Arabidopsis thaliana: one gene and its partners. The main gene of each other region encodes a partner of the protein of the gene in region 3 in a complex. Each region holds a gene or a part of one and is shown on either strand. Other genes may lie near its edges. A codon is read from its position in the direction of its gene.

Evidence for each region. Proteins that work in one complex are often made in the same cells at the same time.
Region 1: the proteins of AT5G66890 (region 3) and SAG101 are in contact, whole or in part, in a crystal structure (PDB 8YN0), measured with the Arabidopsis thaliana proteins. Residues at the interface, in NP_201490.1 of Arabidopsis thaliana: Leu190 (codon at 2,415), Lys214 (codon at 2,487), Trp236 (codon at 2,553), Phe237 (codon at 2,556), Tyr264 (codon at 2,637), Tyr266 (codon at 2,643), Asn288 (codon at 2,709), Asn290 (codon at 2,715), Ala314 (codon at 2,787), Phe338 (codon at 2,859), Gln339 (codon at 2,862), Tyr362 (codon at 2,931), Arg363 (codon at 2,934), Asp383 (codon at 2,994), Phe386 (codon at 3,003), His407 (codon at 3,066), Asn408 (codon at 3,069), Leu409 (codon at 3,072), Leu411 (codon at 3,078), Leu412 (codon at 3,081), Leu414 (codon at 3,087), Phe415 (codon at 3,090); in NP_568307.3 of Arabidopsis thaliana: Leu288 (codon at 1,521), Met292 (codon at 1,509), Lys296 (codon at 1,497), Asp299 (codon at 1,488), Ile302 (codon at 1,479), Tyr306 (codon at 1,467), Trp309 (codon at 1,458), Tyr310 (codon at 1,455), Lys313 (codon at 1,446), Cys314 (codon at 1,443), Val317 (codon at 1,434), Arg324 (codon at 1,413), Pro332 (codon at 1,389), Ser333 (codon at 1,386), Lys334 (codon at 1,383), Glu335 (codon at 1,380), Phe336 (codon at 1,377), Asp337 (codon at 1,374), Ile338 (codon at 1,371), Asn339 (codon at 1,368), Asn342 (codon at 1,359), His343 (codon at 1,356), Glu347 (codon at 1,344), Arg350 (codon at 1,335).
Region 2: the proteins of AT5G66890 (region 3) and EDS1 are in contact, whole or in part, in a crystal structure (PDB 8YN0), measured with the Arabidopsis thaliana proteins. Residues at the interface, in NP_201490.1 of Arabidopsis thaliana: Lys404 (codon at 3,057), His407 (codon at 3,066), Asn408 (codon at 3,069), Leu409 (codon at 3,072), Asn410 (codon at 3,075); in NP_190392.1 of Arabidopsis thaliana: Arg383 (codon at 3,749), Lys387 (codon at 3,761), Glu416 (codon at 3,848), Phe419 (codon at 3,857), Lys420 (codon at 3,860), Val423 (codon at 3,869), Glu427 (codon at 3,881).

What each region holds. Positions count from the first base shown.
Region 1 is NC_003076.8:4,826,770-4,831,537, reverse strand, and holds SAG101 (senescence-associated gene 101), read right to left. Parts: upstream 3,040-4,768; 5' UTR 2,785-3,039; coding exon 2,765-2,784; intron 2,613-2,764; coding exon 2,246-2,612; coding exon of another isoform or gene 2,237-2,245; exon of another isoform or gene 2,126-2,236; intron 1,996-2,125; coding exon 769-1,995; 3' UTR 556-768; downstream 1-555. Other genes in the region: AT5G14920 (Gibberellin-regulated family protein), read right to left, coding at 3,777-3,961, 4,050-4,602, 4,723-4,761. UniProt on the Arabidopsis thaliana protein: Acyl hydrolase that triggers the leaf senescence onset. Can use triolein as substrate to produce oleic acids.
Region 2 is NC_003074.8:17,754,774-17,760,026, reverse strand, and holds EDS1 (alpha/beta-Hydrolases superfamily protein), read left to right. Parts: upstream 1-1,879; 5' UTR 1,880-2,334; coding exon 2,335-2,652; intron 2,653-2,728; coding exon 2,729-3,460; intron 3,461-3,556; coding exon 3,557-3,637; intron 3,638-3,733; coding exon 3,734-4,474; 3' UTR 4,475-4,698; downstream 4,699-5,253. Other genes in the region: RR5 (response regulator 5), read left to right, coding at 741-915; AT3G48080 (alpha/beta-Hydrolases superfamily protein), read left to right, coding at 4,882-5,199. UniProt on the Arabidopsis thaliana protein: Positive regulator of basal resistance and of effector-triggered immunity specifically mediated by TIR-NB-LRR (TNL) resistance proteins.
Region 3 is NC_003076.8:26,712,444-26,716,038, reverse strand, and holds AT5G66890 (Leucine-rich repeat (LRR) family protein), read left to right. Parts: upstream 1-1,566; 5' UTR 1,567-1,655; coding exon 1,656-1,858; intron 1,859-1,963; coding exon 1,964-2,181; intron 2,182-2,268; coding exon 2,269-3,095; downstream 3,096-3,595. Other genes in the region: AT5G66900 (Disease resistance protein (CC-NBS-LRR class) family), read left to right, coding at 1-159, 276-1,108; SNRK2.3 (sucrose nonfermenting 1(SNF1)-related protein kinase 2.3), read right to left, coding at 3,307-3,595. UniProt on the Arabidopsis thaliana protein: Possible disease resistance protein.

The DNA.
Region 1 (4,768 bases), about 22 Mb from region 3:
AGATCAAGGCGACAAAAAAAGAATGGAGTGGGATTCTTGAGCAGAAAGTTTTCTTCAAGAGATTTAGGGTTTTGCCATGGAAAGGCAGGCATAGCAAGAAGACCAAGAATAATCAACGAGATACTGATCAAGATGGCTCGAACATATTAGTTATTGCTCTCTTTTTAATGCACCTCTATTGCCCTAACGTTAATGGGCCTTTATTGGGTTTATTATTGGCCCTTTACCTAAGGTATACTCAAAAAGATTTCCTTATTGAGTATATAGATTAGGAGTTTAGGACGTTTAACAAAAAGGAGTAGTAGCTTAGTGAGATTTGACGTGAGTAATTCATTTGATTATTCGTGGGTCTTGGAGGATTTCATTGAAAGTAAGTTTATTAATAAGGACTAGTACTGTAAACTTTAGAGGCATTGCTCACACGGGTGAGGTTATATATGCAAATTACGATCTGGAGTAGTTAGTTCTATGCAATCCGTCACGATCCTAAGACGAATACTCTAAGAGTTGTTGCGATTGATGTAAACTTCATCATACCACCCTTACAAGAACACATAAATAACGTTATTTTATTTCACTTCTGTTACTCTCGCAATGACACACTTTTGTCTTTTGCTTTTGCTTTCTTAAATATAATACTTTTTTTTCTTGTAAACGGGAAGAAATTGGTAACGAAATTTACTAGAAACTACTAATTCTCGTTGTAAATGAATAATAACAATCACACACTAGTAACCTGAAATGTAAATAAATTACCAAATTATTCCATTATTGTGACTTACCATAACTCTCGTACTTCCGGGTGTTCATAAACTCGGTCAAGTATGAAGAATTAAAGCCTTTGATCTTTTTGTACTCTTTCCACCACTTCATGAAACTGCTTTCCTCTAAGAATATCTCCGGCGAAACCTCACGTTTTGTGATTATCTCCCACACGTATCCCTCAAACTCCACGAGTTTTCTAGTCAATACCTCTCTCACATCGTCTCTCATCCCCACAGTTGTATTCAACTGATTAATTACAATCAACGAATCCTCAACTTCAGCCCAAAAACAAGAATCAAACGTCAAAAGATCACTCAAATCTCTCTTTTTGCATCTTTCCTTTTCTATTAATATCGATTCCATTCCAAACCATTTCTCAAGCATAACATAGTGGTGAGACCTTCCCGTAGTTCGATACTCTTTCCGACCCTCGAGGTAATATTCAGCAATATCGAGTGGTTCGATCATCCGTCTGTAATTGTTCCCCGAGAATAGAAACCGTCTCTTGAGAATCGATGCATCGCTCTGCGGCCTCCTCTCTACTTCTTCAACTACTGATTTCCAAAAACGGTTTAGCTCTGATTTGTGGTGATTCTTGATGTTTATATCAAACTCTTTCGACGGAAACGCGAGCTGAGTCTTGAACCGATCGTAGTAACCGATCTTGACCTCCTTGCATTTCTTTTTGTACCACTCTATATAAGCCATCGATATCTTCATGTCGTTTAGTTTCTTAAACATCATATCAAATCGCAGATTTTTCATTTCTGCACGTTTCTCTATTCCTTTGATAACATCTTCAGGGATCAATCTTGAATCCGCCAGAGACAACATGGATTGGTCAAGACGATTTAGAACTTGGCTGTAGTCTACTAGACCCGAATCATGAACACCGTTTAGCAACTCTGTGACCGCCACATGGTCCTCGATGCAAACACATCCGGAATCAAAACAGATCAAAAACGTTCCAAAAGGTTTGAAGAAGTCCATCTTGATACGAGTTTGTGCTGATACAACGTGAAGGAAACATGAATTCCTCACAGAGTTCTCAAGAATCTGTTGAAGAGAAGCGTCTCCGATCAATGGCGAGCCAAATGTGATGCATAAGGGACGTTTTAACGTCGGTTCGATGGTTTCAAGAAGCCATAGCGTATAGAGAGATGCAACAGACCCTCCTAACGCAGCTCCGGTGATGATCACCGGTTTCTCAGACTTGAGCGTTTGGAGCAACTGCAAGAGACATATAACTTTCAAGTTTTCTACGTACAAAGATTCTGTTTCTTATAGTTGTTGACTTTTAAAACCAGACAATACACAAAGAAACATATACTAGATCAAACAAAATCTGAAACAGAGTATTAAAAAGCTATTGGACTGAATTGCAAACACGGCAGAGATATATTTCTGCAGACACTAACTTTCAAGATTCTGAATTAGTCTTAAAAACGAGATAAGACTGAAGAGATGGAGATTAAATTACCTCTGATTTGAGGTAAGTGAGACTAGTAGAAGCAGAGGTAAAAAGGTTAAAAGCAGGTGTGTGAAGAGAGAATGATGGGTTGTTCTCGGAGCAGAGGAATGGGAAAGGATTTTCTTTATCTTTCACATGAAGAAGAGTAGAATCAGAGCTACTACTTCTGCAGATCGGTGGTGCGCTAAAAACCACAAGTGTGAATTTCTCTTCTCGGTGAATCTGAAATTCTAGACCTGAATCTTTTTTTTTTTTTGAAACTTGTAGACCTGGATCATGATTCGAATAAGGTGGGTTATGTATCTCCAAGATCTTACTCCATGAGCTATGTAAGAGACCAGAGGTCACCACAAGCTTCCCAAGTGCAGAACCTTTTCTAAAAACCAGGAAAATTGTGAATTTAAGTCAATGTCTAAGGAACAAGAAATAAAAATATCATCAACAAAAAAATACGGTTTTCAAGAAACGAAAGAAGCTGAACAAAGCAGGTTAAGTTAGAAAGACAAGAGAGTGAATTGTAATGATTACAGTGAAGAAGAAGACTCCATGGCGTGAGCTGGAATAGATCTGTGGAGAAGACAATACAAAATTATGGATGGTAAGAATGAAAATTTATATTGTAAGACTGAGAGAAATAAATGTCTGAGAACGAGAGTCCATATTGAAAAATCATTGAACTGATAATAATTATTATAAAAAAAAAAAAGAAGTGTATCTGAAAGTCAATGGTCCCTTTTCCGGGAAGAATCGCCAAAGGCGAAGAGTTCAACATACTATTAAGATAGAACAAGTGTGAATAAAAATAACACGCTTGCATTTGAAAGCTTACCATATAAGATAGGACTCAAATGTGTACAAGAGAAGGACCAAAAGAATCATAAATACCCAAAAAGTCACAAAGAGTTTGTTTATTCTTTCCCTTTTTTAAAACATTTAAATATGTATATCATTATCACAAAGAACTTGTGGAATAAGTTGACATGTATTTGTTACTCCAAGACGAATTTGTTACTCCAAGTCTCCCAAGTCCCAAGTAAGTTCTCCTTGCGCAAGACTTTCCCAAATGATCTTCAAACACATCGGCCCAAATAGGCTGGACCATATGCACATAAGAGTCTATATAAGGCCCAAATAAGATTTGCAATTAGAGCATTTGACCCAACTGAATAACAACATTACCGCTAGCAGAACACTCATCTTTTGAGCTTCGCTATGTGCATTTCTTGTTTTCTTTCTTTTTTTAGGTTCTTCTATCTATTACATAGTTTCAGCGATACAAGAGTTACATGAGCCGAAGAAATGCCTAATAAAGTAACCTGTTAGAATAATAAAACTTTATCCATCCCTATATTATTCAATACAAAACAAATTCATAAAACCCTTAATTCATCGAGAAGGTTTTTTTCATTATTTAGTATTCTACGTCCCGTAAACAAAGATCCAACTCAATATTACTATAACAAAAACAAACGCATTACAAACTTATAAAAACTCCATTGATTTAAATTATTTCGTTTAACAACCATCGTCATATAAAGGTTCAAGGACATTTGGATTTTCCACCACGTGTCTTCATGTTGGCGTAACAAGATCCACACTTCTCCTTATTACCGTAGGTGCCTGGGGGAACACACTTGCAGCGGTAGCAGCACGTGACGCACGCTCTCATACATACGTTCTTCCTCGAGTGTTGCCCACACCTCGTCCCACATAAAGGCACGCAATCTAAACCGTCCAAAATTTAGTCCAATTATACATCCGATCTAATCAACGACCGATAATCATCACACTTTTGAAAGAAAATTATTATTACCTATCCGAGTTCTTACGGGAGGTGGTGTTGGAGGTTTGACAGGCGGCGCTGTAGGTGGTTTAACCGGTGTAGTTGGGGGATTGTACGTAGGTGGTTGGACCGGTGGCGTCGTGGTGGGGGGTTTAACCGGTGGAGTTGTGGTGGGTGGTTTAACCGGTGACGTTGGGGGTTTGTACGTAGGTGGTTGGACCGGCGGTGATTGAACTGGTGGCGTAGTGGGTGGTTTAACCGGTGATGTAGTGGGTGGTTTAACCGTTGGAGTTGGGGGTTTGTACGTAGGTGGTTGGACGGACGGTGGTTTAACTGTTGGCGTTGGGGGTTTGTACGTAGGTGGTTGTACCGGCGGTAGTTTGATCGGAGGAGTTGAAACCGGAGGTTTTACTGGTGTAACCGGAATAGTTGGAGGTTTGACCGGAGGTTTTGTGGTGGGTGGTTTAATAGGAGTAGTTGGCAGCGTGGGTGGCTTGTACGACGGCGTCGGCGGTTTGAGAGCTGGCGACGGCGGTTTGGTAGCCGGAGATGGCGATGGAAGTGTTGGCGTTGGTAAAGAAACCTATAAATTTAATACAAACATATACCAAAATTTAACTTCATACACAATAATCAATAAAAATGCCTGAGTATATAGTTAAAGACGCATAGAAATAATTAAACTGGAAATTAGAAAACGTACTAAGGCGTTGGATTCCTCATTTGAAGCAGCAAAAACAACCTGCTCG
Region 2 (5,253 bases), on a different chromosome or scaffold from region 3:
CTATAATAATCTTAACTATGATCCTTAATTCTTGTTTAGGTCAAGATTATGTAGGACCAAAATTTACCAAATATAGTAGATTTTGTGCATTTATTACTTCAGGAGATGGGGATGATTAGATTTAGAGGGTATTGTTTGTTTAGGAAACTTTTTAAAGTAATCACACTAATTTAGGATTTGTGATAAAGTTACCGTTAAAGGATATGTATTGACTAAATTAAATTGTTGTATAATCACAAGATTTTGTTATGATAGAAAAGGTTATTATATGATTACTTTTTAACTATCATGGGGTTAACTTTGGTGGTGGTTGTATATTTGATCAAGCTGAGATTTGGTGTTTATTTTAGTGGGTCCTAAAATGATTTTTAAAATGGATCTTAGGAATAATAAAATTTATCTTGTGGCCATAAATTTAGAAAAGAATAATCCATCATAAGTTAAGCAAGATCTTCTCTTGAGATTTGATTCTATATAAGCCGGTGACATGTTAGGCCCTCCAAAACTTTATAATATATGTTTTAATTGTTTGGGTTGCATAATCTTAGGTAGGGTCATTTATAAAATCCCAATCCTCGTGATAGACACCTCACATGCCTTTGCTTATTACTAAGGAACCAAACCCTCTTTACCAGATTAAGTTTAATGATTATCATATATGAGCTGGCCATTTTCTGTATCCAAAGTTATAAACTTTATGGAATTAGATCACTAACATTTGGTTCCTTATATTTATTCAGATGTCTTGAAGAAGGAGCTGAAGATTTCTTATTGAAGCCTGTGAAATTAGCTGATGTGAAGAGATTAAGAGATTCTTTAATGAAAGCTGAGGAAAGAGCTTTTAAGAATATTATGCACAAGAGAGAGCTTGAAGCTAATGATATCTACTCGCAGCTAAAACGCGCAAAGATCTGAGTTTATCAGATTCCACGTACGATATGTTCTTTAAAAGCTCAAAGATTCACACACATGCATGTCCTGATTCTTTCGGCTTACAATTTTTGAGACATTACGGCTTCTTTTGCTGATAGAACCAAGACTGATCAAGAGTGACAAAGATGGGTTTTTATAAGATAGAAATGTAAATTGTAGACTTGGATTCATTAGAGAGGAGAAGAGATACATTTTTTTTTTCTTTACATGAGAGATATGTAAAATGGTGGTGTGTTATTTTGGAAGTTAACATATGAATTTCTTTTGTTAAGATTACTTAAATAATGATTTAGGAATGGATTAGTAGTTTAGTACCGTTCATTACACGAAGACAAGCTAATCTTTTGTCTAATTAAAATAAAGCTGTCTACATGAATCGAATCCAGCGAGATAAGTTAGTTATTTTAAGCGTTGGTTGGAACACTTTACATGGCTTTTCGTAGAAATTTCCCCAAGTTGGGTTTTATTAAGACCAAGAAAATTCTAGTCTCCTAGACTTTTTTTTGTTTCTTTTGTTAATTTAGTCTCCTAGGCTTTTTCATTCTATCTGAAAGCAAAATATGGTTATGCAATTTGGTTTAGCCAAAAAAACAAACTAAATTTTTCTAGTCCGGTTCATGTAACTTCATAATCAAACAAGTAAAAGTCGAATGTGACGCGTCTTGCCGAACGCAAAAACGGACCAGGCAAGAAGGTGTAGTTAGTTAATTCGGTTAATATTCAGCTGAGAGAAATCGAACCGGTTCCATATCTTGTAGATTATCCGGTTTACTTTCCGGATAAGATTTATAAGCAAAACAGAGTTAAAGTAGTAGATTTCTTCTATACGAGACCAAATCTGAAAACCCAAGTCAAGCTACAAAAACTTAACTCCAAGCGAACAAATCTCCTCATTCATTAAACAACAAAATTGTTTTCCGACAAAAAAGTGAATATCATTGAGTTACTGCGAAATCCCAACCGAGAGTGACATCTCAAACCAAAAGATGGAGTCTATATTAAAGAGACGAAGACTCCAAAGTCAAGCTACAAAATTTCCAAGCAAAGATTACACAGAGAAAACTTTCCGACCAAATGTGAATGTTTATGAAAGTTTCTGCGAAACTCCAGTCATGTCGGATGTACAAAGCCATACACCAATGTAAAACCGACACGTGGAAAGCTAAGATTCCTAGCTTTTCTTTCTTCATGAGTCTCCAATAGCCAAAGAGTCAACTCCAAAAAAAAAAACCCATTTTTGCATTGAAATGGTCTCATGATGGGGTATTTTGGGTAACTAATTAGTCCTGTCTACATCTTCCCATAAATTAACAGAGTAGGAGCGGATTAAAGAAGCAAGACGATTCAAAAGAAAAAAGAGAGAAGAAAGTCCACTAAAGAAAAGAGAATAGATATAGATCAATGGCGTTTGAAGCTCTTACCGGAATCAATGGTGATCTAATCACCAGATCATGGTCAGCCTCGAAGCAAGCTTACCTAACCGAGCGCTATCACAAGGAAGAAGCAGGAGCAGTCGTAATCTTCGCTTTCCAACCATCTTTCTCAGAGAAAGATTTCTTCGATCCGGACAATAAATCTTCCTTTGGAGAAATCAAGTTGAACCGTGTTCAGTTTCCTTGTATGAGGAAAATCGGTAAAGGTGATGTAGCTACTGTTAACGAAGCTTTCCTCAAGAATCTTGAAGCTATCATTGATCCAAGAACCTCATTTCAAGCTTCTGTAAGAAGATTGAAAACATCCGAATATATTTTTCTTTTTTTTTCTTTTTTGGTCTCTTATGCTTTTACTTCTTCAGGTGGAAATGGCTGTGAGGAGTAGAAAACAGATAGTGTTCACAGGACATTCCTCAGGAGGTGCAACTGCAATCTTAGCAACAGTTTGGTATTTGGAGAAATACTTCATACGCAATCCAAATGTTTACCTTGAGCCTCGTTGTGTGACATTTGGAGCTCCTTTGGTTGGTGACTCTATCTTCAGTCACGCACTTGGGAGAGAAAAATGGAGCCGGTTCTTTGTGAACTTTGTCTCAAGATTCGATATTGTCCCTCGGATTATGCTTGCTCGAAAGGCGTCTGTAGAGGAAACTTTGCCTCATGTTCTTGCCCAATTGGATCCCAGAAAGTCTTCCGTCCAAGAGAGTGAACAGAGAATAACAGAGTTTTACACAAGGGTGATGCGAGACACATCAACTGTTGCAAACCAAGCTGTTTGTGAATTGACTGGAAGCGCAGAGGCGTTTTTAGAGACCCTTTCTAGTTTCCTTGAGCTAAGTCCTTATAGACCCGCCGGTACTTTTGTTTTCTCTACAGAGAAGAGATTGGTTGCAGTGAACAACTCGGACGCCATTCTTCAAATGCTGTTTTACACTTCTCAAGCCAGCGATGAACAAGAATGGTCTCTAATTCCATTTCGAAGTATCAGAGATCATCATAGCTATGAGGAACTGGTACAGTCGATGGGAAAGAAGTTGTTTAATCATTTGGATGGAGAAAACTCAATAGAGTCTACGCTCAATGACCTTGGAGTGGTAAGTCTCTCTCTCTCTCTCTTTTCATACTGTGCAGCTCCATAGCTCCATTCTTGCAATCATTTAAACCCTTCAGAGTGTTTCCTTTTTCTGCAGAGCACAAGAGGCAGACAGTACGTTCAAGCTGCATTAGAGGAAGAGAAGAAACGAGTAGAGAATCAGAAGAAGATTATTCAGGTTTGTGGTTGATAAGCTTGTTCATGAATAATGCAGGTACGTGCTTCGTCTGTTTGTGTCTAACAACATAAAACTTGTTGGTTCTGTGGTTTTTAGGTGATCGAGCAAGAGAGGTTTTTAAAGAAACTAGCATGGATAGAAGATGAATACAAGCCAAAGTGTCAAGCCCATAAAAATGGGTATTATGATTCCTTCAAAGTTTCAAATGAAGAGAATGACTTCAAAGCAAACGTCAAGAGAGCTGAGTTAGCCGGTGTTTTTGACGAGGTGCTTGGTTTAATGAAGAAATGTCAACTTCCAGATGAGTTCGAAGGGGACATAGATTGGATCAAGTTAGCAACTCGATACCGCAGATTAGTTGAGCCTCTTGATATTGCAAACTACCATCGACATTTAAAGAACGAAGACACAGGGCCGTACATGAAAAGAGGAAGACCAACCCGCTACATATATGCTCAGAGAGGCTACGAACATTATATACTGAAGCCAAACGGAATGATTGCAGAAGATGTATTTTGGAACAAGGTAAATGGTCTTAACTTAGGGTTACAGCTAGAAGAAATTCAAGAGACTCTAAAGAATTCGGGATCCGAGTGCGGATCATGCTTTTGGGCTGAGGTTGAAGAACTCAAAGGAAAGCCATACGAGGAAGTTGAGGTAAGAGTTAAGACATTAGAAGGGATGCTTGGAGAATGGATCACAGACGGGGAGGTAGATGATAAGGAAATATTTCTGGAGGGTTCAACGTTTAGAAAGTGGTGGATTACGCTTCCCAAAAATCACAAATCGCATTCTCCTCTGCGAGACTATATGATGGATGAAATAACAGATACCTGAACCTTAGGTGGTGGAGTATTTAAGCTATTAGAACACTTGCTTCTCTTAATTTGTGCAATAAGAAATGTTTATCAATCTGGTTTCCACTTCATGATGATCTTAGAATAAGAAACATGTTGTATGATCATTGTGAAGTAATGTAATAGCTCTCTATTCTAATGTCAAATTTGGTTTCCACTTTACAGTGATCTTAGAATATATACGTTACTCTACTAAAGCCTAAAGCCATCTCAAATAGCATGAACCAGTAACAAACAACCTTCCTTAGATTGAAATGGTCTCATGATGGGGTATTTTGGGTAATTACTCCTGTCTACATCTTCCTACTATATTAACAGAGTAGGAGGACTAAGAATCAAGACGACTCAAAAGAAAAAAGAGAAGAAAGTCCACTCAAGAAAAGAGAAATGGCGTTTGAAGCTCTTACGGGAGTCAACGGTGATCTAGTCACCATATCATGGATGGCGTCGAAGGGAGCTAACCAAACGGAGCACTATCTCAAAGAAGAAGTAGGAGGAACCGTTTTTTTCGCCTTCCGAGCATCTTTCTCGTCGGAAGATTTGTTCGCTACGGAGAATACATCTCCCTTTGGAGAAATAAAGATGAAGCGTAATCAATTTCCTTGTATGAGAAGCATCGGCAACGACGTTGACACTACTGTTAACGAAGCTTTCCTCAAGTCACTTGAAGTTCTCATTGGTCCAAGAACCTCATTTCATGCTTCTGTAAGTAAACAAAAGCTTCTTAAATGCGTTTTAAATCGAAAACATCAGAATAAT
Region 3 (3,595 bases):
TAGTGACTCAACATGATATCCTTAGGGAGTTGGCTATCTGTCAAAGCGAATTTAAGGAAAACTTAGAAAGAAAAAGACTAAATCTGGAGATACTAGAGAATACATTTCCAGACTGGTGTTTGAATACTATTAATGCCTCTTTATTGTCTATCTCTACGGGTAATTCTTTGGGGTCTTCTTTTTCTGAAAATTAAACTTAATGATTATACAAATCTCTGCTGTTTCTAGAAATATGACTTCTCTATAACTATGATTGGTCTCTCTTTTTCTTACAGATGATTTGTTCTCATCGAAATGGTTGGAAATGGATTGCCCCAATGTTGAGGCTTTAGTTCTAAATCTCTCTTCATCAGACTATGCATTGCCAAGCTTCATCTCTGGAATGAAGAAGCTGAAGGTTCTGACAATCACAAATCACGGTTTTTATCCAGCAAGATTGAGTAATTTCTCGTGTCTCAGCTCATTACCAAACCTGAAACGGATTAGATTGGAAAAAGTTTCAATCACTTTGCTAGACATTCCCCAACTGCAACTCAGCAGTCTTAAGAAGCTGTCTTTGGTCATGTGTAGTTTCGGTGAGGTTTTCTACGACACAGAAGATATAGTTGTCTCTAATGCTCTATCGAAATTACAAGAGATTGACATAGACTACTGCTATGATCTTGATGAGTTACCGTATTGGATCTCTGAAATTGTTTCATTGAAGACACTTAGCATCACAAACTGTAACAAGCTCTCTCAACTTCCAGAAGCTATAGGCAACTTGAGTAGACTAGAAGTGTTGAGGCTGTGTTCTTCTATGAATCTCTCTGAGCTGCCTGAAGCGACTGAGGGACTCAGCAACTTGCGGTTTCTGGATATTTCTCATTGCTTAGGATTGAGAAAGTTGCCTCAAGAGATTGGCAAACTGCAGAATCTGAAAAAGATCTCGATGAGAAAGTGTTCGGGATGCGAGTTGCCGGAGTCAGTGACGAATCTAGAGAATCTGGAGGTCAAATGCGATGAAGAAACTGGATTGTTGTGGGAAAGGCTGAAGCCAAAAATGAGAAATTTGAGAGTTCAGGAGGAGGAAATAGAGCATAACCTGAACTTGCTTCAAATGTTTTAAGTGAAAGAACGTTATCGTAGTAGCTTCTGTGGATCTTGTAATGTTTGTTATTCATTATTTTCGTTGTTATATACATTATAATGGCTACTGAGTCCAAGTACAGAGAAAATGTCATGCCAAAGAATTTTGTGTAGGTCAATCTTTTAAAACCATTTAAGAGTACTACTAAATCCTTGATCCTTATCTAACTTGAATAGATTTGAACAGAGTTATTCACCAACATTTTTGACAAACTATAAATGTAATATTCAACATTCTTAATGTTAAAAATATAATGTTGGTAAATTCTTTGAAAATCCTAAAATGTGAAGTCAAGTCTCCTTTTTCCTTTGCTAGCTAAACTTCTGTTCTGGGATTCAAACAATGGTTTGTTTGAAACTTCAAAGTACCGCGTGACTTTTCCGTTATAAATTTGATCTAATGGCTTTTATGAAGAGTCACGTTTTTTATAATCAAAGAAAGAGTCGGTCAATAGATTAAAATTTCTCTCAAATTGCTTGGTTTTCATCTTAATTCATAATTCTCCTCTCCCTTCATAGGAACCATTATGAATTCGAATTCGATTCAAAGCTTTGATGCCTTGCCCCACAATCTTCGAGAGTGTTTCTTGGACATGGCCTCATTTCTTGAAGACCAAAGGATAATAGCTTCCACTATAATTGACTTATGGTCTGCATCATACGGTAAAGAGGGTATGAATAACCTCCAAGATCTTGCCTCTCGCAATCTCCTTAAACTTCTTCCTATTGGGTATGTTACTTTCCATTCATCTACCAATTCTTAACCCTAAAGCCTATAGAAAACGGTTTCACCATATTTTTCCCAACTTTCCTTTATTTATTTGCTTTAATATAGGAGAAATGAGTATGAAGATGGTTTCTACAATGAGTTATTGGTTAAACAAGACAACGTCCTTAGAGAATTTGCTATAAATCAATGCCTAAAAGAGTCGTCTTCGATTTTCGAAAGGAAAAGATTAAACTTGGAGATACAAGATAACAAATTCCCAAACTGGTGTTTAAATCCAAAACAACCTATTGTTATTAATGCATCTCTCTTTTCTATCTCTACTGGTAATATAATTATTTCTTTGCTCTGTTTCATACACCCTTTAATCATATTTACTTCATATGATTGATCTTCTTCTTTTTTGTTTACAGATGATTCATTTGCATCAAGTTGGTTTGAAATGGATTGTCCAAATGTTGAAGCTTTAGTTCTTAATATCTCTTCATCAAACTATGCATTACCAAACTTCATTGCTACTATGAAGGAATTGAAGGTTGTGATTATCATAAATCACGGTCTTGAGCCTGCAAAGTTGACTAACTTGTCTTGTCTCAGCTCGTTACCAAACCTGAAACGGATCAGATTCGAGAAAGTTTCAATCAGTTTGCTTGACATTCCCAAACTTGGTCTCAAGAGTCTTGAGAAGTTGTCCTTATGGTTTTGTCACGTTGTTGATGCTCTCAACGAATTAGAAGATGTTTCTGAAACTTTACAAAGTCTACAGGAAATCGAGATTGACTATTGCTACAATCTTGATGAATTACCATATTGGATCTCTCAAGTTGTTTCATTGAAGAAGCTTAGTGTCACAAATTGTAACAAGCTTTGCAGAGTCATAGAAGCTATAGGTGACTTAAGGGACCTTGAAACGCTGAGACTGAGTTCTTGTGCTAGTCTCTTAGAGCTACCTGAAACGATTGACAGACTCGACAATTTGCGGTTTCTTGATGTTTCTGGTGGCTTCCAACTGAAAAACCTGCCTCTAGAAATTGGAAAGCTCAAGAAGCTTGAGAAGATTTCGATGAAAGATTGTTATCGATGCGAGTTACCGGATTCTGTGAAGAATCTAGAGAATCTGGAAGTGAAATGCGACGAAGATACTGCGTTCTTGTGGAAAATATTGAAACCAGAAATGAAGAATCTGACGATCACAGAGGAAAAAACAGAACATAACCTCAACTTGCTTCAACTGTTTTAACTGTTAATTTGCTTTTGTGTGACATTGGAATATATATATAATATACACAGATGATATTTTACATTACATATATGATATATGTGTGCATGAAGAAAACAAGAAACAAACAGAGACAATACAAAAATTGGTAGAATTTGAAACCAGAGGATCAGAACACTACTGGTCTTAGAACAGATAGAGAAGTGTTTTGGTTGTTAAAAAAGGCTTTTTATTAGAGAGCGTAAACTATCTCTCCGCTACTGTCAATGTCGATTTCAGATTCAGAGTCAAAGTCATCCATGTCATCGTCAAGATCAAGATTGTCAGTCATGAAATCGTCTAGGCAACGGTTTCGAACAGCGGGAATTGTGGCTTCAGAGATGATTTGCATGATTGTGTCAAGGCTTTGCATTGGTTGTTCAGGCTCCTGGAACTGGCTTCCTGTGTTGCTCTCGTTCATTAGATCAGCAGGGAGATTCTTCAAGAACCAACTATGGGTTTTGATCTCTGGTATGCTTATT